Linked DNA regions of Danio rerio. The protein of the gene in region 1 interacts with the protein of each later gene in a pairwise test. Links are inferred from orthologs where the notes say so. Each region holds a gene or a part of one and is shown on either strand. Other genes may lie near its edges.

Region 1 (8,594 bases):
GTCCCCCACCTTCCCTGAGTCCATGAGGATTCGCAACAGACCATTGAGTCATTTCATAACATCCATACATGGTTCCAACTACAACTGGGACTCTCCACAACAAAAGATAATCAAAACAAGCTGGACAACCTAGTATAGACCCCGCTACAAACACACCTTAAAGCATTCGTATACTTCCCTTGTCATGTTCCACTCAATCTTGTGCCCACACAATCTAGTGTCCACATAGCTTTTAAAGTATATTCAACTATTGATGGACAAGCTTGCTACAGTCGAAATAACACTTTGCACTTGAATGGTGTGTGGACATTTTTATACAATCCTAATAATGGAAGAGCATCAAGAAGACAGTGTGCAGAACACTGCTAAACACAGAGGTATACTTTGTGCTTAAAAAAACATAAAAAATAAAACACTTTCACTCTAAAATCCAAGTGCTGGCACTTCAGGAATAGATCCAAAGGCTGAGGTTCACAGACTCTAATAAACAGACCCAGAAATCTTCCACGAGGCAATGAAAGCAAGCTTATGATTTGTCTGATAAAGATAAGCAACTGACGTGATGATGCCAAAGAGTTTGACATATCTTTAATTAACAGAGCTAAATCTGTACAAGCATGTAACACCGACTGCAACTTCGTTCTGATCCTTTGGTTTCCAGCTTGGGTTCAAAACCTGAGTTATACTGATGATTTTTGGGTGTAATAAACCTCTCTATAAGCAGACATTAACCTTACAAAGAATGTCATGCTTCAAACTATGGTAGTCAGAAAGCCACTGTTCTACATTTATGTGATGAAAAAACTGTCCGTTTATTGAATCTATTATAGGGTTGCCTCGATACTGGAATTTGATACCAATCAGTATACTGGATTTTTTAAAATGTCTATTTCCAGCAAACATTTAGTAGCTGTGGAGCACGTTTTTAAACCACAGATTTTCCATTGATTTTCACATGCTCAACAGAAATGACTGTGACTGGCTGTGATGGTCATCGGTTACTCAAACTCACCACTGTTCACTGAGTGAACCACATATAGAGGGACACTGGAGCGTTTTAAAGTCACATCGATCAGCTGGTTTGTTTATAAGCTGACATAAGAGCGATCCATTGATGAATCGCCGCTTTAAAAGACTCCAAATGGAAATGGGCGTTTTTTAAATTTCAGTACCGATTGAAATTGAATTCCGATGTAAGGACAACCCAGATATTCCTTTTTAATATATAACTAAATAACATTAACACATGCTGCTTTTGAAGCTACGTGTATAATCAGACAATTATTCAATGACTTTTAATGGCAGTTCCACTGTTCCAAGTAACAAATGAATCAATAAATACTTTTATTCATTAAAGGCTCATTAAATTGATCAAATGTCGCACTGAAGACTGCTGCAGGTGTTTTAACTAATTGAACTAATATAAGATACAGTTTGTGACGATATGCTAACCTTGGATTAGTAATGTAATGTATTTTTTTATTTAATGCCATATCAGCAACCAAGGCTATTTTCATGGCAGGAATCTTTCAACAATAAATATACAATTTAAAAATCAACAAACAAAAAAACAAATTAAATAAGATTTTTTGTGTTAATACATGATAAAAATTCTAAAATCTTTTCTGTTTTCACTTTGTTAAAAATGTCCTTCAAAGAGTTCATTTCATAAAAAAGGCTTCTGGAATTAGTAAAAGCAGGACAGTCCAGTAAGGGTAGGGTTTTCACCTTGGAGCAAAAAACCATGTGGTATTCTCGTATGCCCAATACGACATCTGGTAAAAACTACTTGATCAAATCGATTGTTAAAATGTCTTTAAATTCTGTGTGAAATTTCAGGTTGGATTTCATGTAATTTATTGTTTTCTAATGCATCCCATTCCTTTTGCCACTTGTTTAAAATGCAAGCGTTGATAAAAGGTTTCATCTCTGATGGAGGAATTTGGCATTTGATCACTACTTGCTTCAAAGCATCTTTAGCAGCTGCATCAGCTCGCTCATTGCCTGAAAGTCCAACATGTCCTGGAACCCAGCAAAAAATGATGTGATAAAACTGATTTTGTGCTAACCTTGGATTAAAAATAGTAGATATTCTGACTTAGTAATATTAATATAATATAGCAATATTGGCATTATAGTATACTGATTATTTTTAAATATCTAGGTAACAACAACAACTTTTTCCCCATTGAACACAATATATTTCAATATTTTGGAACAGTAAATATGTCAAAATAATTAAAATAAATCATTGATTCTTCATTCGTTTCAAAAGCACAGATTTCTTTACTTGAAAATGCATCTTTGAATATCTTTCTTTTCATTGGATATAAATAAGGCAGTGAAAAACACTGTTCGGGTCCAAAGCATGCTTGGATGAAGTTACAAGTCTTTAACAAGTAAAAAATCTGTATATATATTGCAGGAACGATATAACAGAAAAGATTTGCGGTTTAGAAAAAAAACTGACTTTTTCAAACCACAGTAAACCTTGAAAACGGTTATCATCCCATCCCTATTATGTGCTTTTTTTAAATCATAAAACATCATTAGCTTAAATATAGGATAATAAAACGCAAGTAGTCTTCATGTGAAGAGCATTATTTGTATGCTGTGCTGCCTATATGTAGTGAGCTCCAGATGGTGGCATAGTTTAGTTACCCATATAGACATTCATTGATCACACTGAACAGAGAATTCCATGTCCAAATACACAATTTACAAGAGCACAGGATGGAAAATGTGACAGAAGGTCTGCTTCAATGACATTCTCATTACTCTTGTTCCTTCACAACTCTGTTCTAAAATCCCATAATGTAAATATTTAAAAACTGGCCCTTGCTATTAAAAAAAATATTGCTCCTAACAAACTCCTAAGTGAGAGTTTGCATACATCAGTGCTGAGAATCACAAAAACTGCTTTTGGATATAAGTCAAAAGATGAAGGCATAGAAATTGCTTTACAATTATGTAAAGTATATAATGTATGAGCAGATGTGCAAAGAATATTGTGAATATTACAGGAAAAAATGGAGGCTACAAAATAAAGTTTACTTTCTATAATTAACAATTTGCTTAATTCATTTGCATTAAGTTTGTATGCTTGGGTTTAATGTCATCACAGCTTCTATCTGCATTTTTATGTTTAGAAAAAGTGTACAGGAGATATAGATTAAATTAAGATTTTACCATTGAATTTTTAAAAAAAATCTAAAACAGACAAAAAGATTTGCATGGCTCTTCAGTCACCCATAAAAAAAACATAATTGAGCAATTCCAGAATCATGGATGTGACAATTGTAGTAAAAACTCAAACCATAAATTCACATAGAAAGTATATGTTAACATAATATCGAAACATCTGTTTATATTTTCCAAAACAACTAACCACAGCGTTATGGGAACAGAAAAATATCAATCTGTAAATACATTTTAAATTTTAAAAGAAGAAAATAAACATGCATTAAATGTTAACATGCAAAAAAAGTCAGCAGAGTTTACAGTATAACATACTACTACTAACTGTACAACCCAAAAGAAGTAATGTTAATCAAAGAGATAAGAGTTGGCTCAGTATGAAACAAAAATTATTGATTTCATTTTATTTGACATTTTTGAGAGAAAAGCTTTATTATGGATAAGATGCCTCTCCGTTATGGATGTGACAGATGTAAAATTGCTACTTGTGTGACTTTGGTAAATCAAATATAATAGTTTGAAAACATTGACAGAGACATTTCTGAGTATTTTTAAAGTACTGTAAAATACTTACACAAAAAAAAATGTAGAAACTGTATGTCTATTTTGGTAAAAACCTATTTTTTATGGGAAGGTTGATATTTGCATGGAATTGCTCAATTATCCAGCACTTAAAGAAATTGCTTTGAAATTTATACTAATCCAAAAACATGATATGCTACTAACCATCATGTCAAAAACACTATCACCCCAGTATTGATTGCACCAAAACAGTTATGATTGCAATGTACCAAAAAGCATATAAAATACGAATTATTTACAGATTACAAACTGACTGAAATTTTAGACAAAAATAAAAACAAAAAATAATCTAAAGGTAATGTTTAGACTTACAATATGCTTCAAACAGCATGTCAAGATTTCACTTCAAAGTGGTTACAATCAGCTAAGTGTCGTCTATTTTCACAATATAGGTCTACGTTTACAAGACTAAATGATTTGAATTTTATCCGCGTTGTTTTGAACAGTGCTGTCAGCTGCTTCACTCGCATTCATTATTGACAGAGCAAAGTTTCCCCAATGATCATGTAACTTGAATACTACCTACCTACACGCTCAAATCACTGCACACAGAAGTTCAAGCCCTCCAAAAGTAGCCACCGCTTAGTTTAAAGCCTCACCTACGAGTGTCATAAACTTTTATAGTTAATCTGAACACGGACAAGCCGCGGTTGTTTGTACGTACTTAGCGCTGAGCCTCAACAGATGATCAACAACCACCGCACACACATACACACACTTCCAGCCTCCCCAACTCCACAAACACATACAATGCGTACTCCTTCGCCGCTCACCTGTACGTAGTTACTTTCGCAGTACTCGGCGACTCTGTCAAGGTTGGTGAAACTGTCCAACAACGCTCTGCGACCCGCTGGAATTTCCTCCTCCAGCAGCATCTGCAGCTCCGCCATCTTTACATCTCCCTCTCTCTCCCTCCACGCGCAACTAGCGACAGGAAGTACCGCCGCTTCACCTCCCCGTTGAGTTTGGGGAAAGCAGGGAAGCGCGTCTACCAATCCTACTATGGCGAAAAGTTGAAATATAATATAATATAATATAATATAATATAATATAATATAATATAATGTAATGTAATGTAATGTAATATAATATAATATGATAAAATATAATATAATATTATATAATATAATATAATTAATATAATATAATATAATATAATATAATATAATATAATATAATATAATATAATTAATATAATATAATTAATATAATATAATATAATATAATATAATATAATATAATATAATATAATATAATATAATATAATTAATATAATATAATATAATATTAGGATTATTATACATCATGCAATCAAAAATGGCTGATCACTCAAATTACTTTTGTTGCTTGTTTAAACTACTTATTTAAAATAAGTTGAAACAACACAATTCTTAAGTTGTTTTTGGGACAACCTAATTATTTTATGTTGAACCTACTTAAATTTGAGAAAACAATTAAGTTGATGTGATCAATTTGTTGTGGAACTATGAAGCATGCTCAATAAACTCATTTCATTCTGATTAATAGTGCTGATTTTTAAGGTCTTTAGCTCATCAAGTTGCATTTGTTTGTTCAAAAGAGAGTGAAAAGATAAATATTATATCAATATAAAGGTGTCAATAGTGAAAACTTTGTTTTAAAATGTAATTTATTTGTTTGATTTGATCATTATTTACAATGTCACATGATCTGTTAGAAAACAAACATCCAAACAATTTGATGAATGTTTTTGCAGATCAACATTTTCATTTATTTGTATTTTATATAGATGTTCAAAAATTACAAAAGAACATCATCTATCTATCTATCTATCTATCTATCTATCTATCTATCTATCTATCTATCTATCTATCTATCTATCTATCTATCTGTCTGTCTGTCTGTCTGTCTGTCTGTCTGTCTGTCTGTCTGTCTGTCTGTCTGTCTGTCCGTCCGTCCGTCCGTCCGTCCGTCCGTCCGTCCGTCCGTCCATCCATCCATCCATCCATCCATCCATCCATCCAGTCTGTCTGTCTGTCTGAAATGTATTATCATCATTATGGTCATGGTTTACACCTCTCTCTCTCTCTCTCTCTCTCTCTCTCTCTCTCTCTCTCTCTCTCTCTCTCTCTCTCTCTCTCAATTCCATTTAATGTTGTCAGTGGCTTTGGTGTATTTCTCACATTATTTACATTTGCAAAACGGTTGATACATTTCTCAAAACAATTATTACAAACTGCAAAACCTATTTGATAACCTGCAAAAGTAAGTCACTTGCTCAAAATGGATAGCTCATTCCCCAAAAGCAAGTATTCACGTCAATGAAAGTGTCAGTGTCATCAAGATGAAAAGTCCTGCCACCATTGTTTATGAACATGATAGTCAAATGTCTTTGTCATGTTTTCATTATGAGAGTTTACTCTGTAAATATTTTCCAATGCTGAATAAGTCAGATTTTGGTGACACTTCCTGAAAATGCTCAAGACAGCACTAGATACTATTTGCACAGCCATTAGAAAACTACAGTAAAGATGTAGAGATGTAAAGATGCATCACTGCATTTAGTGAGGTATGTGAGTGCAAGACACTGAATATGAATGTTTAATATTTTTACTGCATATGCTTTTTGTAATTCTAATTTATTCACACCATTGTGCGAAAGAATAAATACACCCTTATTTACAACAAACATAAACTTTCATTGAGTAGACCTGTGCACAACTGTAAACAATATTGCAGTATACTGAACAGCATGCATAGGTCTGTAAATCGTTCATAAAATTGTTAAATTTGGAAGACATTTTCAAGGAATTCTTTTTTAAACAAATTTTGCTTTACAGATTTTGACAACTAGTTCAACATTTTTGTATGTCAGGACTCAAGTAATGAAATGAGGACTATTAGTTTTATGTGGAATGACTATTCAGCGTTTACAAGTTTAGTTAATTTTGACTGACATGACATAAGCAAATTATAATTTTACAAACAGCAGACAGAGTGTTGTATTAAAGCAATTGATGCATGTCCAAAAGCATTTGCAATTTGTTGGAAGGAATGAGAATCTGCTACTATGATCTCACGGCAATTCGTAACATTTTGATGTAGTGGCTAATTCGTATGAATTCGTACGATCTAATTAGTGCGATTTGCTCACCCCCAAATGACGATTGGGTTTAGGGGTGGGGTTAGGTGCCACGCCTCCTTTTTAAATTCGTACAATTTCGTACGACTGAACTCCTGCGAATTCGTACGAATTAGCCACTATACTGGCAAAACCTAAAATACTTACGTTTTCTCGTGAGATCAGGCTGGATGTCCACAAATGACTAATTGTTTTGAGAAATGCATTAATTGTTGTGCAAATGTAAATAGTGTTGTGAGAAATGCCAAAGTCAAAGTAAATGTTACAAATGAATTGCCAAATCATTTATAGAGTTTACATAAAAAGTAACATATATAATAAAAAACAGTACACACAATAGATAGCAGTAAAAAAAAGTGTGTGTGTGTGTGTAAATATAAATAATATAATATTTATTATATCACATTTATGGTGGCTTGAGAAAATCATCTCTCTCTCTCTCTCTGTCTCTCTGGCAAATCAGAGTTAGTGATTTATGAGACGTTAGTGATTAATGAAAGACCATTTAACTTTGTCATCACAGGAATTAATTTAATTATGACATTTTAAAAAGATAGAAAAAACAGCTTGTTTGAGTTTTAATACCATTTTACAATTGTACTGTATTTTGCAATGCTTAATCAAATATTTAAAAATCTCTAAAACGATGAATCAAAATGTCAGGTTTCATATGGCTGAAGAGCTTTAGCACTAATCATGACATAATAATAGCGCAATATGTATGCTAATACTATAAACAAAAGTAGGCCTAGTTATCTTATTTACCGCATACTTTTTGGCTATTATTTTTTCCTTATATTTTTCTTATGTTTCTTGATTTACTTGTTGTAGTTCTATTGTTTAGATTATGTTATATAAATCAGTGGTTCTCAAATTTTTTTTCATCAAGTACCGCCTCAGAAAAAAATTGTCTCTCCAAGTACCACCAAAATGAGCAGAATTGAAATACAGTAGTGTAGTAGGCCCAGTAAAGCAGCTACAACTCTGCACAGTTAAAAAAAAAACATGGCAAATTACCTTAGAAATATAGGCTATGTGTAATATATGGCATACTATATACATCATTTTTGATAAATTTTGAAATATATGTAGCATGTACATGTAATATTTCATTCCTCCGCGTACCACTAGAAGGAAGCCCGCGTACCACTAGTGGTACACGTACCACAGTTTGAGAACCACTGATATAAATGAAGGCAAACTCATTGTTTCTGCAATTTAATTGTGTCACAATTCAACCCTGTAAAAGTCTTCAGCTGAATGAAATACTTTTGTCTCGCATTCCTTTGTAAACAGCGCCCCCTGTGGTGTCACAACAATACAGCTTTCTCCATGAGTTCACTTTACATTATATTTTTCCTTTTTAAAACGACAGTAAAGCACGCCATACATGGATTTGTGTTTGCATATATTGTATACTGTTTTGTGTGTGTTTGTTTCTGTGTGTGATGTGAGAGATAGAGAGACTTTTGTTTTATTAGAAATATTAATTGTTTATCACACCGCTGGACTGTTAGGTGAACGGCTAAAACAGCCAAAAAAAGCTAAAAATGCTAAATGTTAATTGTCTGTATCAAATTAAATATACAAAATTGATTTTTATATATATATATATATATATATGTCGAACATTGGATGCTAGAAAATGGTTCAAATATCTTTTGTGACAATAACCTGCCAAAAACATTTTGTA
Region 2 (8,468 bases), on another chromosome or scaffold:
ACATGATGGAATTATTTACAGTAACATGCAAATACTGTATTTCCCTATTGTAAAAAAAAAGATCAGATTTACAAACTAATTTTCATATAAATAGTATAAATAACATTTGTATATAAATAGTTTCATCTGAGATTATGATCTATGGTTGGAAAGATTACAAGGATGTGCCTCCAGGAACTGGCCATGCAAAAGCACTCAATGCTGTGAGGTTGAGGCTGAAACAGACGTCTGTTGTCTGCCATAACTGCTCAATTCAGTTCATCTAGTTTGAGACCTTGCACTTATTAGGAAGTCAATGTGAATCAAGATGCATAGCATCATTTTTCCTGTCCAGCAGAGAGAGGAAACACAGTGCTCTTATTTCTGCAGTATAAACTGATCAATGAATTCACTCTGCTCAGCTTCCACTTTCTGAAGAGCTTCATATTCTATTCGATACCTGCAAAACAAAAAGACTTTTTAGTCTTGAAGAGAAATTCAGAGCATAAACACAATGCTGTTCACTACTTGAAGTGGCTGTATGCAACATTCAGAAACCCTTGTCATAAGCAATATTGGTGGCCTAAAATGAACGGCATACAGTTCTGGGCAGATTACTTTGAAACTGTAGTCAATTGCTGATTACTGATGATCATGAAGAACTGTGGTTCATTTTAGGTAATGGTTTATGTATTTCAACTACTTTTAGATTACGAACTTTTCACTTACCAACTGATGTAACCACATGTTTATTTTGCTAGCACGCTGAAATTAATCTGTGCTCTGAATTAGTCAATTCAGTGAAAAAGATGTTCAGTGTTTTGATATTCGTTAATTAAATTCTGACCACTTACTATCTACACCTCTGATTACACAAGTTTGGGTGATATATGCTTAACCACGCCCCTCCAACAGTTACTTTGCTGTGAGTGAAAGATAAAAGGAGGAGTCCAAAATGTATGTATGTATGTAAGTATGTTTCATTATTTTAAAATGTTATATACTTCAATTCCAAGTTACAACCTAACTTTCAGAATCTGATTACGTAATGCAGATAACATGTATTTAGTTGCTAACTAGCACTGTGCACATGCCAATGCAAATGCTGTAATAGATTTATGGTGATGCTCTTTCTTTTGTTCTCTTTTAGAAGTAACAAGTTGGAAATTACCATGCAGTAACTGAAAAATGACTGAAAAATAGAACTGAAGAAAAATATCAGACCATAATGATGTATTATGATGTATTATCATATTTACCTTTCCAGTTGCATTTTCTTCTCTGCAATCAGAGCCTGAAGCTGTTGCTGCTGGGCTTCCCGTTGCTTTTCAACCGATTTCAGCAAATTTCTTGCCCCTATGGCCTGAAGGTGAACCATATATAAATACAAAACGCAAATATGCACTGCTAATAGTTTAAAACAACAACGTACCTTCATTTTTTCAGTTTCGGCTTCCTTCGCAAGTTCATCCACAAGTTCAATAAGTCCACCTACAATTTTCTGAAACTGTCCGATCTCTGTTTTCAAAAGCAAAAGGAGAAGTTATTGATCTGGACTGCAAAAAGCAAAGAAATTCAGTTAAGAGAGATAAACTTCACAATGAGATTAAAAAATAAAAAACACTTACTGTCGACAAACTCCTCACATTCCTCTTTGAGCTCAGTTGTTTTCTGGCTCACATCAGGCTCAAGTACTCGCAGTTTGTTGAGCTCATCAAAATGAAGACCAGCCTCTGCTAACGGGTCTTTAGCCATGACCAGAGGACCGTAACCTGCCTGTGTGACTCAATAATGGCTGATAATTATACAGAAACAGAAGTATGTTAAAAGAAAAATATGCATAATTTTATTGTATTCAATACTGACAAATACAGTGTTGATTTTGCAAAGTAAAATGTCTAGACGTGCCAGTATTCAATAATATATCACAACGATAATGAACATACATGCTTTATCACTTTAAAATAAGTAATAATTACTTATTGTTATTGAACTTTCAGAATGCATTTTAAGAATATTCAGTTTGCTGCTTTTGCAATGATGTTCTAAAAAACTTTTTCGCGTTAATCTGATGTACAACATGGCTAAAATGTCATTTAATTAGTTTGAAACGATGTTTTGCTCTGAACATTTATATACCAGCAGGGCCGGAGTGGGACTGCTTTTTAGCCCTGGAGTTTCAAGCCTTAGACCGGCCCACCTCAGTTCACGACTGACTATATTAAAATAACGTCATTTCTAATTTAGTTTCTAATGACAATATACAATCTTTTTCAAGGACACAGCTGCTTTAGAAGTTCAAATGTTTTTCATAAATATGAGAAGATTAAAGGGATAGCTAAATCTCCAACACTATTCTTTACAACGTCCTTTCCTGCAATATCCGAATATATATTCTGTGCAAAATTCTTTATAGATATCCAGTCCTTTGTAAGGGCGGTCACACAAAAAATAAAATATGTACACCTACATAAGTAACCCAATCAGTATTATACTAACACTAAAAATGAAAAGAAAAAAAAAAAAAAGATTATTTAGGTGAGGTTCGAACTCGGGTTGGCAGCGTTGTAACGCAACGTGCGGACCATTTGACCATTTTTTCTCCTCTTTTTAGATTTCTGATCAAGTTATGTCAGATTTATTAATGTACTGAATCATCTGATTTTCATTGAGCAGGTGTAATATTCACTAATATTAATTATTTGAATTCTTATATTCACTTAGGCGCTGCTGTCATCATTAACCTGCAGGCTGCATTTTGCTCACGGGGCTGCTAGAAAATAAATAAAAAGAGCGGAGCTGCGCCAAATAATGAATAAAAAGAGTGAGGCTATGGTCAATAAAAAAAAATTTGGCCTAGTGGCCAAAAAAAATGGACTGGCCCTCCCGGAATTCTCCAGATTAGCCAATCCGGGCCAGTATACAACTATATTGACATATACATTGTTTGTGTGTGTGTATTTGTACAAAGACACAGTTCTAATATTTTGTGCTCTATACAGAAACACAAATTTAAATTGAAACAAACAAGATGTGCTTTAACTGCAGACTGTCAGCTTTAATTTGAGGGTATTTACATCCAAATCAGGTGAACGCTGTAGGAATTACAACAGTTTGCATATGTGCCTCCCACTCGTTAATGGATCGAAAGTAATGGGATAGAATAATAATCATGAATCAAACTTTAACTTTTTAATACTTTGTTGCAAATCATTTGCAGTCAATTACATCCTGAAGTCTGGAAGTCTTCACCTGATTTGAATGTAAATACCCTCAAATTTAAACTGACCGTCTTAATTTCAAATCCGTTGTGTTGATGTATAGAGCAAAAAATGTTAGAATTGTGTTGATGTCCCAATATTTAATGTTCTCACTGTATATATACTGTATATATGTATGTATATATATATATATATATATATATATATATATATATATATATATATATATATATATATATATATATAAAATCTTTTTTAGACACTAGGTCCAATAGTACAAAAGACAATATAAACCACACAATACGTTAAAAAATACAGTTATGCCAATATTTTAAAGGTGACTGATAAAGCACCTCCATAAGCCTAGGGTTTAACATTAAAATGCTATTCTGAGAATTCTCTTATCGACAAATAAACTTATAGATCAAATTTCTCATCCAAAGCAAAAAATGATCAAACTCTTACATCACAAAATAATTCACCTGTACTACACCTAGGCATGGGACGATAACAGTTTTCAAGGTATACCATAGTTGGGAAAAGTCAAGGTTTTAAAACTGCTATAATTTTCTGCTATACAGTTCCTAAGGTATGTGTAAGATTTTTCATTAACATTTTTTGTTGTTGTTGTTTTTTGGGACAACAGTATCTCCAACAGAAAAAAATATTCAAAGATACCTGTTAAATTGTAATGAATTAAGTGTTTTTAAAATAAATAAAGACAGCAGAAGTCATGGATTCATTTGAACTTTTTAGTCTGATTTGTTAACTGCTCCTAAATATTTGAAAAATAAATATTGTGTTCAAAGGGGGGAAAGTTTTAGTTTTTTACCCAGACATTTAAAAAGAATATATTTCAGAGCAGTAATCTTAATACCGTGAAACTGATATTTTTTATTCATGGTTTTCATACTGTCAGAATCCTATACCGGCCCATGCCTAACTACACCATCTATGTTTTTAAGAGAATCTCCATACAATCATTGTATGCAACCTGGAGCTTATGGACACTTTATTTAATTATACCACAGAGGAGCTGTGTATAAAGAACTGCAATAAGTTCTAAAGAGGTTTAACTTTTAACCTGCTCCGAAAACTTTCTCCCTAGCAAATTTGCTTCAACATATAACTTTAAACGTTCCCTGTACATGTACTTTTTATCACTCATATCTTCTGTAATGACATGCCCTAAATATTTAACAGCCTTACTAGCATTTAAATTTTGCCGTGACATCATGTAAACACTCCTTTTTAACCTAACCTTTTTTATTATATTGCACATCATAGTTCTCTCTCTCTCTCATATATATATATATATATATATATATATATATATATATATATATATATATATATATATATATATATATAAACTTATTTTTATCACATGTTAAAGCAACTCTTTATTCCACCACACGAAGATAATACAATATAACGTGATAAATGCTTTAGCAATGATAAACAAAACAATCTGATTCCATCATGACAATCTCTTGCAATAAAGCATATCCCAATTCACAATGAGCTAGCTAACGGATTAGCTAGTTAACGTAGCAGGTTCATTTGAAGTAACGTTACATGAAACTACCACAGTCGTTACATTGCACCAACCACGTAAGCGTAGAGTATGTTTACTTAAAAGAAGAGGTAGAGATGCTATTGTTCACAAAATTCGCTTTGTTGCTGATATGGTCTGGTTGCCATTGAGATAGATAAACACAAACAAACAAACAAACCAGCTGGGAACTCCACAATCTTATTAAACTGTATATACAATATTTACAATTACTGAACAAAATGGCACTTTATAAAGTAAAATAAACTAGTAAATGTCATAACCCTACCTGACTTTTGTTTGGTTATGTGGCACTTCTGTTGGACCGACCGACCGCTTCCTCGCATCTGTCTGGCGACGGCCCGTCCAACTCGTGATGAAACGGAGGGGTGTACGAGTGCATCTTAAATATATTTATGTTTGAGATCTCGCCTTCTTTAAATTAAATAAACACCCTTATGTCTCATAAATAACTGAATAAGCGGTTATGTTATCTGTTTTGCAATAGTGTAGTAACACAAATTCATAGCCAACTTTAAAAACCTACCCCCTCCTAATACTGTAAACGTTTATGTATGAACTCGTCCTGCAGTTCTGCATCAGACCCATATGCGCGCGCGAGACAACTGATGGGAAGCTAAACTTAGTCAAAATCACAAGAAGAAGAGCTAATGGCAACAATTTAAGGGCGCCAAACTCTAAAATGATATTAATTTGTCATATTTCATATATCTAACAGGTGAGTTCAGCAACAGGAACATGTACTGTGTATGTTTAATGTTCGCCCTTTCACGGCCTGACGCCATTTTAGCTAACTAACTTAGTAACGTTAGTAACTTACAACTAGTTGCCAATATTATGTTTATTAATTCTCGTCACAATTTGTAAACAGCTGATAGAAACTTGTTCATGTTTCTGTTAAAGACATTTTCAAGTTCATTAGAAAAATTAACATTCAGATATCTCGTTTTTTTAATAAAAGACGGCGACAATACATTTTTCTGTGTTTAACTTGTTTTTAATTGTTATGGATTCCATATTTTAGTATTATAATTGACAATTATGATTATGTTTGCATTCAAAATAGAACATAGTAGCCATTCTAGCACACATTTAAACAACATTAGTTTTACTTACAAAACAAGTTAGAAAAAATAGTACAAAACAAATATGAAAATGTTAAAACTTCAATCTGATATGCAAATTTGATGTTTTTTTTTTTCCATTTAACGATTGTTATCTGTAAACTATTGGACCAAATACTGCCTACATTCTTTAATTAAATTTAATATTTTAACTTTTCTGTGAATTTATTGTATACAATATTTACTACTTATTTATTTAACATTTCTACTTTGAAATGTCATTACAGATGTAATAACATGCCTCTGTCAACTCAGTCCCAATCCGATGTTGACCAGTACATCCTGATAGCCAGTTTGGACAATGCAAGGAATCTGTCCAACATCCTAAAAGCCATCTCTTTCAAGGATCATGCCATCTTCAATGCAACACAGAATGGGTTGAAAGTCACAGTTGAGGACTCCAAATGCCTTCAGGCCAATGCATTCATTCAGGTTGATGTTAGCAGACAAATTCAGACACTTTCTGCTGAGAACAGTTGAATCTTTAAGCATATTTGTGTATTTTCTGACATCAGGCTGACATCTTTCAAGAATACATCATCAAAGAGGATGCAGTTGGCTTTCAGGTTAACTTAACTGTTCTTCTCGATTGCCTCACCATCTTCGGGGGAAGCACAGTGCCAGGTGTGTATTACAATTGTGATCCAGTCTTTTTTTGGGAAATGTAACATAATCTTTGTTTTTATTTTATCATTAAGGTGTGTGCACCGCCTTGAGAATGTGCTACAATGGATATGGATATCCACTAACTTTGTTCCTGGAAGAAGGTGGTGTGGTCACTGTATGCAAGATTAACACACAGGAGCCCGAGGAGCCCATAGACTTTGACTTTTGCAGTACAAACGTGACCAACAAGGTGATTCTGCAGTCGGACAGTCTTAAAGAGGCTTTCTCTGAGCTGGACATGACCAGTGAGGTTCTGCAGATTACCATGTCACCGAGCCATCCTTACTTCAGGTACAGTAGTTATGAACATGACATGTTTGAAGTGGTTTAAATAAGGGATGTCCAGATCACGTTTTTTTTTTTGTTTTTGCCTCCGAGTCATTTGATTTTGAGTATCTGCCAATACCGAAACTCGATCTGATACTTTTATAATGCATTAAAAAAATAAAGAAGAGCAAAGAAATAAATCCAGTATGTTCCTTATTTTTTATTTAGTTCACTGTATTTTAACATTTAACAAAGATCACTTCTGTGAGGTAGCTTGAACAATCAAGTAATAAGTAACATAAATTCTTCACTTTTGGACTTAAGTGCAACATTAAATATTTAAAAAATCTAATATTAAACCAAAAAGCACCTTATCTTAAAATACTCAGCAGGCAACGCTGCTGTTTCTGTGTGAAGTTAAGAAAGAGGTCTAACTCTGTGACATCGCATAACAATATATGTGTTAAAAAAAAACAAATATATATATATATATATATATATATATATATATATATATATATATATATATATATATATATATATATATATATATTGATCTTGACATCTCTAATTTAAATGTTTATTTTTTTTCCATCTGATAAAAAAATGCTTACAAGGTTTCTTTTATTTTTATAAAAAATTGAAAAATCACAGTACATTTGTGAAATCTTCCCACAATTTACAGTATGTGTTTGCATTGTGATATTTAAGAATGCTGTTCAGTCCTGTGATGGCAAAGCTCAACTTCCAGCACAATGTGTCCAGTCTTCCACATCTCATGATCCTCCAGAAATCATTCAAATGCACTGATTTCCTATTTAAGAACAGTATAAGATTTTTTAGAAATGGTTATTGATACAGTTTTTGTTTAATGGAAAGCTCAAATGAAAAGCATTTATTTGAGGATAACGTTATTTATTTTGATAAATGCAGGTCAGAATATGTTTTCCACTTTTAAACCTTTGGTGATATGATATAAGCATTCAGGGTTTTTTTAACAAATGAAAAAAACAAACAAAAAAATTTGCGGTTTGTTTTTTATTTATTTATTATTAACTAATTTAATGCATTTTAATTAATTTATTTATTTGAATATATGGTTCAAATAGAAAAATAATAAATGTAATTTTATATAATGTAGGTTAAGTGTTTATGTTATTAATTCATATAATTTTGTGAAAAATATTTATTTTTGACTCAGAATAAAAGCAGGACACATTTATATGTGCAAGGAAAAATGATCTGAAGCTGCTTTGTACTTTTTTTGCTTTCGTGCTTGTAAAAGCTTTTAAAAACATTTTTCCTTTTCTTCCTAGATTATCCACATTTGGTAATTCTGGAAATGCCCATTATGATTATCCCAAGGACTCAGACATGATGGAGCTGTTCCAGTGTACAAAAATACAGACCAACAGGTAGCAAAACAGACTAACTTTTCACAGTTGCCTTTTGGTTCTCTTTTTGTTTAGTCCAGATCAAAAACAAAAATGATATGGTTAATCCAGGTTCACTTAGAACTCAGATGACCATTTTGTTCACCTAAAGATGCCAAACATAATGAACCTGTACTTTAGTTTGGTCAATGTTTGCAATTGTTCCACATTTCAATATATGGTGCCTGGTCGTCTATGATCC
Region 3 (8,451 bases), on another chromosome or scaffold:
TGTGTTCTTGTTTTTCAGAACCCCCTGCGCCCTCATTTTGTAGCGCTCAAACTCCTCTTTTATCTGCCGGAGCTCTTGTTGGTAGTGGAGCGCTGAGGCTTTCTCGCTTTCAGAGACTTCGTGGTCCTTTTCTCCTCCCTCCAGCAGCTTCTCAATATCTAGGCTCTGGTCTTGAGATCTTTGTGCAGCCAGTAGGAGTAACTTCTTCACCTTCTCAAGTTTGTCCTTTAACGCGTCTACGTTCAAGTTCATGTCATCCATGTTTAGATCAGAGCTTGTTGTCCTGTTGACTGCAGCCATGGCGAGGGTTTTGTTCTCTGTGTCGAGCTGAAGGATGCGTTCTCGTAGCCTCTGAGTGTTTTGTTGGTCCTTCTGTCTGGCCTTCTCGCAAGCACCCAAGAGTTCAGAGAGCTCAGATACTCTCTCCTCAAGACTGGCAACTCGGATCTCCTCCATCTTCGCCTGCTCTCGGAGAAGCTCATCTGCTTGTGCCACCTTTAAATATGCGGACAAAAAATAAGAATGTTTACATAACTAAAAGACCATGCGTGTCCAGTGTTACTCCTGAAGGGATTCTGCTTCAAAATGTGTTGAATCAAGTTCCTGCCTTACATTTTATCCATTCATTGTAATCAGTTATTCTTGGATGTACATCACCATATGGATGAAATTTTTTTTGCTACTTCTGCAACATTGGAACTCAGGCAACTGTAGTATAGAGAGAAATTCCTTGTTTAATGTCCATGTTCTTTTATATGTACATGTGTAAAGTAAGGCATTAACCAATCATAGTGTTGGTAATTTGAATACCAAGTAGAATAATATGCACCAGGGTCATTGTAAACAAACCACCAGCCTGATTTTACTAAGTAGGACATGTTCCAGGATTAACATCTATGTTGATTTTGGAACAACCTTCCAATCAGAGATAGATTTACCGTTTATATTAAGTTTAGGTTTACATTTAGGTTTATGCACATCTACATGATTGTTATTTTGTTATTATTCCCTCTGATAGTTTATTTAGGTATTAAGTTTTATGGGTTTAGGGGTAGGGAATAGGTATGGATTTCATTTTCTAAATCATGTTCCATGATCAACATTGATGTTAATCCAGGATTGCATTGTACTTGACAAAATCATGGCGTGCTTATACAAACCCATAGAATACCTGTGAGTAAAATTCACCTATGCATATATAACTGGTTTGGTAAGACTAAAAAAATAAATTGTTACTGTATCATGCCAGTTGCCTTCTAAAAGTTAAAATTATTTATTTTTAGTTATTAGTTACAAACCCACCATCAATCATGACATTTTTAGTGCCTTTTTAACCTGTTTGGCATTTATAAATCAGCTTATTTTATCCAAATTGTGTCTAAAACTGGTTATCACCTTTCTCGTTGACTAAAATATGTTGTCTAGCAAGGTAAATCATAAGCTATATGAAAATTACTGCACTAAAGTAAATGCATTCTTTATGTAAACTTGACATATAGATATAAATGCCTCTTTTTTGCTCTGGGTTTATCTCACCTGTTTTTAAAGGGATAGTTCCCACGTCATCATTTACTTACCCTTGACTTGCTACAAACCTGTTTGAGTTGTTTTTTTTAACACAAAAGAAGATGTGCTGTAGAACGTTAGAAACCTGCACCCACTGACTTTCATAGTGTTTTTCATGTTTCCATGCATTTCCTACTAAAAGAAATAAAAAGTTTAAAGGTTTTTAGCATTCTTCAGTATATCTTCTTTTGTGTTTAACAAAACAAAAACAAAAAAACAAGACAAAATAACTAGTTTAGAACAAGTCAAGTGTGAATAAGTGATGACAGAATTTTTCTTTTTGGGCAAACAATCCCTTTAACAACAGAAGGTTGTAACTTTTTTTATTTAAAAAAGTCAGCACTTCAAGATTTGTAAAAAAAAATCTGTTCTTTGACAGAGAATTGCCAGTATTTATTATGACTACAACAAATATTAGGCATTATGTGGACTTCCATCACAAATCAGTAACATACGACCTCTTTAAAACGTACCTTTCTGATTTCCTGCTGAAGTTGCTGATTGAAGTGAGCTTTGAGGTCTGCGTTCTCTTGCTGAAGCTCCTCCACCCGTGGGTCAGGTTTACTGTTCTCCACCGCTGCAGCCTTCAGGCTCTTCTTCAGCTCATCCCGTTCCTGAATGATCTCTTTCAGCTGCGACTCATAATCTAGCCCTCGGTCTGCTGCCTGCATGGCTTCAGCCAGCGTCGCCCGTGCGTCCTCCAGTTTGAGTTCTGCATCCTGTCTCAGTCCCCTCTCTTCCTGCAGGAGTTTCTGAAGCTCTCGGAGCATGAGCGCATGATCGCCCTGCTCCTGCTCCCGTTCATGCTGCTGGGTTATGACTCTTGCTTTGCTCTCCGCAAACTGCTCCTGCAGGTTTTGAAGCTCGGCCTGGTGCTGCTTCTTATCTTCCTCCAGCCTAGCCTGCAGCTCCTCCAGTTCCTGCTTCATTTTCCGCTTGTCCGCCTGAAATGAAGCTTCCATTCTGGACTTTTCTTGGGTAACAGTGGCCAGGGAACTGGTCAGTGTGGACAGCTGCGTCTTAAGTTGGATGACCCGGCGATCAGTGTCTGCCACCTGTGGTGTCGGCTCTGAACATCCACTGCTGCTGGTGCTTACGCCACTTTCAGACCCACTTGCCTCCTCAGACTGCTGGGGTGAAGTGTGTACAACAGCCCCAGCTGTGGCTCCATCTACAGCACAGCTTTGATCGTCCTCGATTTGGTCTCCTTTAGTGCTGTTGCTCGTCACGCTAGTGGCTGTTTCAGCAGAGGCTGCTGTATCCAGGCTGTCTTCACTATGAAGTGAACATCGGTCATCTCCAAGATCAGAAGGCAAAGCTCTGCTTCCTGAAGCTTCACCAAATGAGAGGTTATCAACACGACTTAAATCGACCTCTTGAGAAATGGTCAGAACCTTCAGACTGGCTTCCAAGGCTTCTTTTTCTTTAAGCAGGCTTTGGTAAGCTCTGACAACATCTTTAAAGCGTGTCTGATACTTTACAAGCTGCTTCTTCTGCACTTCAATGGTTTCCAGGAGTTCTTTTTTGCTTGGGCCTCCACCAAAGCTCATACCGAACTTCTCCATGGTTAATCACCGTCAGTCAGGTTTCATACTCTCCGATATGATCTCCACCTGCTAAGTAAACACAGATTTATTATGATTGTGAAACGAAGAAGGGCAATATGAATCAAGCAGCATCTTTCTTAATATAAAGAGTTCAGATGCAAAAACATCTTGTTATTTTCCTCTCAAATTAGCGTTTTTCTCTCCAACTCTTGTGCTGAGTAATTTGATTTTTATAGTCACAAACAAGTTCTTTTCATTGATTTTAAAGTAAAATAACTCACCTTACACATAGGAGGCTGGAAAAAAAAGAACATTTTAGGATAAATTTTCAGACAGCATTTAGAGGTTTTTGCATCTGAACTCTTCATATATGGATCTTATATTGGATCCATGTCACAATAGTTTCAACATTATCATTAATGTTTGTTTCACACTTCACTAAAACATGTTTAAAACTATTTTGTGTTTTTGTTATTCTTTGAGAGCTTTTGTCTGGTATATTTAAAATAAATCAAACTATTATTTACTGCTATTTATGAACAATATTCACACTAAAGCTGGTCAATTTCTCGTTTCAGAACCTATAATTGATCTAATTTTTCCAGGTCCATTTTTTCCAATTACTTTCCCTACTGGGTGTGGAGTCACGTGACCCCACTCTGTTAAAGCTGATTTATACTTCTGCAGCCACTTTGCAGCCATAACTGATCTCTTGTCAAGTAGGACAATGAACCCATTTTTGAGCTTTGCACTACATTGATGATGATTGGAAACTGTGCCAGAGATTCCTTGAGATTGCATGTTTTCCATTACATGTAAAGTTATTATTTACATGAAAATATTTGTTTACAGAAGATGCAAGAAATGCACTGTTTAAAATATAATTTACATGACATACAATGATTATTTTATTTAGAAGAGATACTGCTTAGTTTCTAGTTTTAATATGAAAAACATTAAACAATTTAATTTGTTTCCAAAAGTGCAAGTTGTTTATTTTCACTTTTTTATACAAGAAAAGTTGGTTTTAGGTAATGTGTTTTAATTTCAGTTCTTCAACTTTTATGTTCAATAAATAATCATAGATAGTACATAGAGTGTGTTTCCTTCAGTTATTTTTAAATCAAGTAATGCACCCACATGTAATGCATTGAGGCATCTCTTACTTGTAAAAAAAATAAAATAAAATGAGCATATTAGTGAACTATTATCAGTGATCTAAGGGCAAAAAATCAATAAATAATCGTAATCATTATTCGCAATTGAGTTCAAATGTTCAATTAATACAAATTTTGATTTTACACTAGATCGCCAAACCCTATGTCACAATGGTTTTATCATTATCATTAGGGTTTGTATCACACTTTATTAAAAACACGCCTATTTTGTGTTTTTGTTAGTCTTTGAGATTGTTTTTGTCTGGTGTATTTAAAATAATTCTGACTATTATTTACTGCTATTTATGAACAATATTCACGCTTTATGGAATGGACTGTACTAACAAATAAATATAATAGCAATAACAAAAAATGTCTTGTTTCTGCTGGTCTTTGGCACTTCTCTTGTCCGGCAAGTTCGGAAAATACTGACTACTACTAACTACTACTTTTATTAATTATGCATAATAAGAGAGCACTTGGACATAAAATCATGAGACAAATGATTAGACAAACATATATAACTGACAGTTGACTTTTCTAGTTTCTGTCTTATTATGTTCGGTGTATTAAAATAACGTTACCGACCAACGTTAATTATAGTTCATTGGTTGTCTTTAGCTAGTTAGTTAGCAAGGTTTAAATGTATAACAATAATGTATCAAATCCCACATCGTGACATATAGGTTAAATAAACTGTGAATCAAGCATACCTGAATGTGCTTTTAGGTTAGTTTCATGTTCATATAAATATATTTAAAGGCAGAAAAAGCCTGAAATGTTGCAGTAACCCGAGTACGTGTCGTGTTTACTTCCAGACGTCGCTTCCTGGATGGGAACTGGGAAGTGACGTTTGAATGTTGATTAAAAGCTCGAGTGTATTATAAAGTAAGTATTACTATTTCATTAAAAAACACAATTCGATGTATTTTGACACAATATTCTATTTTAAAATGTTGTCAATATACAAATGTGCCGACAAAACATTGTGAAATACATTTCACAATGAACTACGAGCAGATAAGTTGCTGTTGAGATGTATACTATTTTCGTTGATTTGTGTTTGTTCATATATTAAATGCTAAAACAATTTACATGTTATTCAAAATACTCTTGTTACAATTTAGGGCTGATTTATGCGTGAAAACGTTTGTTGTGTGCGCTTATTTATGTATTAGGTATGTTTTGTGGTATAATCCCTGATGTTATGTTGAAATATGAAAATGTTATTGTAGGATATAAGCATCAGAATGAACATCGAGATGTTTATTTTTTATTTAATCTTGTTATATTTTTGGCTAAATATGTTATACACAAATGTACATTTTGTAAGCGTAAACCTTTCAGATTTTTCTTGAAGATCTACATCTGTATGTCTTTGATTTCTAAATCTACTAATAAGAAAGCTGCAATAACTGTGAATCTGTTTAAAAGACACATTTATGTCTCGCTCCTTGGCATGTAATGTGATATAATGTAAATGTTGTTATGATAATAATAATAATAATAATAGTAATAAAAAAAATTCTCATAATTAGACACAGAGAGTGGCAAAAAGTGCAATAATTTATTGAAGGTTCCTCTTTTTCTTCTTTTCAAAATAACTGTCATCAGCACAAAACACCAATACTATTTCAAGCATTGTAAATAAGAAAAGTTGGCTTTTTTAACATTTACACAAAAGCAAGATTTAATCAGAGGTTACACGTATTAAACAAAGGCCCAAAATGGTGGTAAAGCATTTGTAGGATTTGTTAATAATATGCACAAAGAGTAATATGAAAATCTGACATCATGTGATATGAATCACATATACATACATAAAGTGCTGACACATATCGATTGTCATGCATTAATCTATCTCCCAAATAAATCCTCTTATTAAGAAGAGATTCAAATTCTTTGTTAATGGATGAAACATGTAAACCTGGTTGCATCGAAACAGGCATTCATTAAAAAAATAATCATTACATATTATAGCATTATATACACTATCTGTTAAAAGTTTGGGGTCCGTTTTTTCCTTTCTTTTTCATTAATCTGTTCATCAAGACAGCATTTATTAAATGTAAAAAAGTTAAATTGCTAAACATTTATTAAAATTTTAAATAACTGCTTTTATTACTGTATGTAGTTTCAAATTAAATTATTACTCCAGTCATTATTGCTTTTATCACAATCACCATTAATAATAATAATTAATATTAGAGTGATTTCTGAAGGATCATGTGACTCTGAAGACTGGAGTTATGAAGCTGAAAAATCATCTTTAAAATCACTGGAATAAATTAATTAATTACATGATAAACTACTTTTGAACAGTTATTTTATAGTGCAATAACATTTCACAATTCTACAATTTTTACTGTATTTACAAATAAAATAAATGCAGCCTTCGTCAGGAGAATAAGCTGATTTTAAAACATTTAAAAGTCCTACTGACCCCAAACGTTTGACCAGTAGTGTGTGTATATGTGTGCAATACACAGCAAAAAAAATGTTCATCACAGCCTGGAAGTGCAATTCTAAACACTTTATATTTGCTTAAAACAATGTATGCACCATGAATCAGAGAACTTAAGGCATGCAGTAATTGTGTACAACAGGATTTTCAGTAAAGTTTTGAACATGTTGTTCATTTAGAGGCTCTAATATGTTTCAATAAACCATTTGTGAAAAGCACACTTTTTACTTTTTAAATTTTTCCATTTATAAAAATAGTTCCAAGTCCCCTGATTGTATTGAGCAACTAGTCCTTTTTAAAATAAATAACTGCTGAAATTTTATTTCAGGTTCATCACATATATATAATTGTACAATTGAAGTCAAAATTTTTATCTCCTGTGAAACTTAAATTTTTTTTATATTTCCCAAGTGGTGACACAGTGGCTCAGTGGTTAGCACTGTCGCCTCACAGCAAGAAGTTACCGTCTAAGTTAGTTTGCATTTTTGTGTGGAGTTTGCATGTCCTCCCCGTGTTTGCGTGGGTTTCCTCCTGGTGCTACGGTTTCCCCCACAATCCAAAGACATGCGCTATAGATTAAATGAATAAGCTAAATTGGCCATAGTGTATGAGTGTGAATGACAGTATATGGATGTTTCCCAGTACTGGGTCACAGCTAAAAGGGCATGCGCTGTGTAAAACATATGCTGGATAGGTTGGCGACCCCTGATGAATAAAGGGATTAAGCCGAAGGAAAATGAATGAATCAATGTCCAAAGTGATATTTATTACTTATTATGAAATATTAGGGGAAAAAATGCAAAGATTTAAAAAAAGTGCTAATAATTTTGCCTTCAATTGATTAAAAAGTAAAATGTTTTGACCCTAAATATTCTCATTTATTGATTTATTGTACTGTAACCAATGTAATGCACTTCTTCATCACAGAGCAGTGCTTCTTCATGTGAGTCTGCTGACCACCAGACTGGCTGAAGCTCTTTCCACATAAAGTGCAGTGATATGGTCGTTCTCCAGTGTGGACTCTTTCATGTGTAGCCAGTGATGCTCGGTGAGTGAAGCACTTTCCACATTGTGTACACTTGTACGGTTTTTCTCCAGTATGGATCCTTTGGTGCTGTTGCAGATAGTACACTTTAGTAAAGCAGCTGCCGCACACCGAGCAAACATGCTCCTTCACACCATTATGTAACTTCTGGTGCTCTTTCAAACAATCCATCCGAGTAAAACTCTTTCCGCATGAGGAACACGAGAAGGGCTTTTCCGTCAAGTGAACCGCCTGATGTCTTCTTAGTTGGAAAGCTGAAACAAATGTTTTTTCGCACTGGTCGCAGCCGAATGGCCTCACTCCCGTGTGTAGGAGATTATGCTTTTTCAAACTCTTTTCATTACTGATTTTCTTCCCACACTGAGGACATGAGATCGCCTTTCCGTGAATTAGCATGTGATCTTTCAGGTACTCTTTTTGTTTGAAGCTCTTCCCACAGAACGAGCAGGTGAATGGTCTTTCTCCAGTGTGGACACGAACATGAGCATTTAGGTGTCCTCTATGTGCGAAGCTCTTTCCACATTGGGGGCAGATTACAGGTTTCTTGGCTTGTGTTTTTATAAGTGATAAACTGTTTTCAATTTTAGGCCAGCTTAAAAGTTCTTGATAAGGAGGTTTCTCATTCACATGTAGTTCTTCGGTTTCTTCTTTGACTTCCGTCATGCCTGAAAT

The links.
Region 2: the proteins of abi2a (region 1) and ift20 interact in binary tests that used the Homo sapiens proteins (3 or more experiments, as listed by UniProt). The link is inferred for Danio rerio from reciprocal best matches to the Homo sapiens genes ABI2 and IFT20.
Region 3: the proteins of abi2a (region 1) and gcc1 interact in binary tests that used the Homo sapiens proteins (3 or more experiments, as listed by UniProt). The link is inferred for Danio rerio from reciprocal best matches to the Homo sapiens genes ABI2 and GCC1.

Annotation. Positions count from the first base shown.
Region 1 is NC_133184.1:13,876,476-13,885,069, reverse strand, and holds the start of abi2a (abl interactor 2a), read right to left. Parts: upstream 4,671-8,594; coding exon 4,554-4,670; intron 1-4,553. UniProt on the Homo sapiens protein: Regulator of actin cytoskeleton dynamics underlying cell motility and adhesion. Functions as a component of the WAVE complex, which activates actin nucleating machinery Arp2/3 to drive lamellipodia formation.
Region 2 is NC_133190.1:26,248,506-26,256,973, reverse strand, and holds the start of ift20 (intraflagellar transport protein 20 homolog), read right to left. Parts: upstream 5,105-8,468; 5' UTR 5,045-5,104; exon of another isoform or gene 5,041-5,044; intron 1,779-5,040; exon of another isoform or gene 1,775-1,778; 5' UTR 1,735-1,774; coding exon 1,608-1,734; intron 1,498-1,607; coding exon 1,412-1,497; intron 1,343-1,411; coding exon 1,239-1,342; intron 440-1,238; coding exon 358-439; 3' UTR 1-357. Other genes in the region: cell cycle checkpoint protein RAD1, read left to right, coding at 6,138-6,332, 6,416-6,524, 6,599-6,857, 8,150-8,248. UniProt on the Homo sapiens protein: Part of intraflagellar transport (IFT) particles involved in ciliary process assembly. May play a role in the trafficking of ciliary membrane proteins from the Golgi complex to the cilium.
Region 3 is NC_133179.1:20,654,377-20,662,827, reverse strand, and holds the start of gcc1 (GRIP and coiled-coil domain-containing protein 1), read right to left. Parts: upstream 5,105-8,451; 5' UTR 4,984-5,104; intron 3,410-4,983; 5' UTR 3,395-3,409; intron 3,183-3,394; exon of another isoform or gene 3,180-3,182; 5' UTR 3,132-3,179; coding exon 2,040-3,131; intron 496-2,039; coding exon 1-495. Other genes in the region: uncharacterized protein zmp:0000000938, read right to left, coding at 7,621-8,444. UniProt on the Homo sapiens protein: Probably involved in maintaining Golgi structure.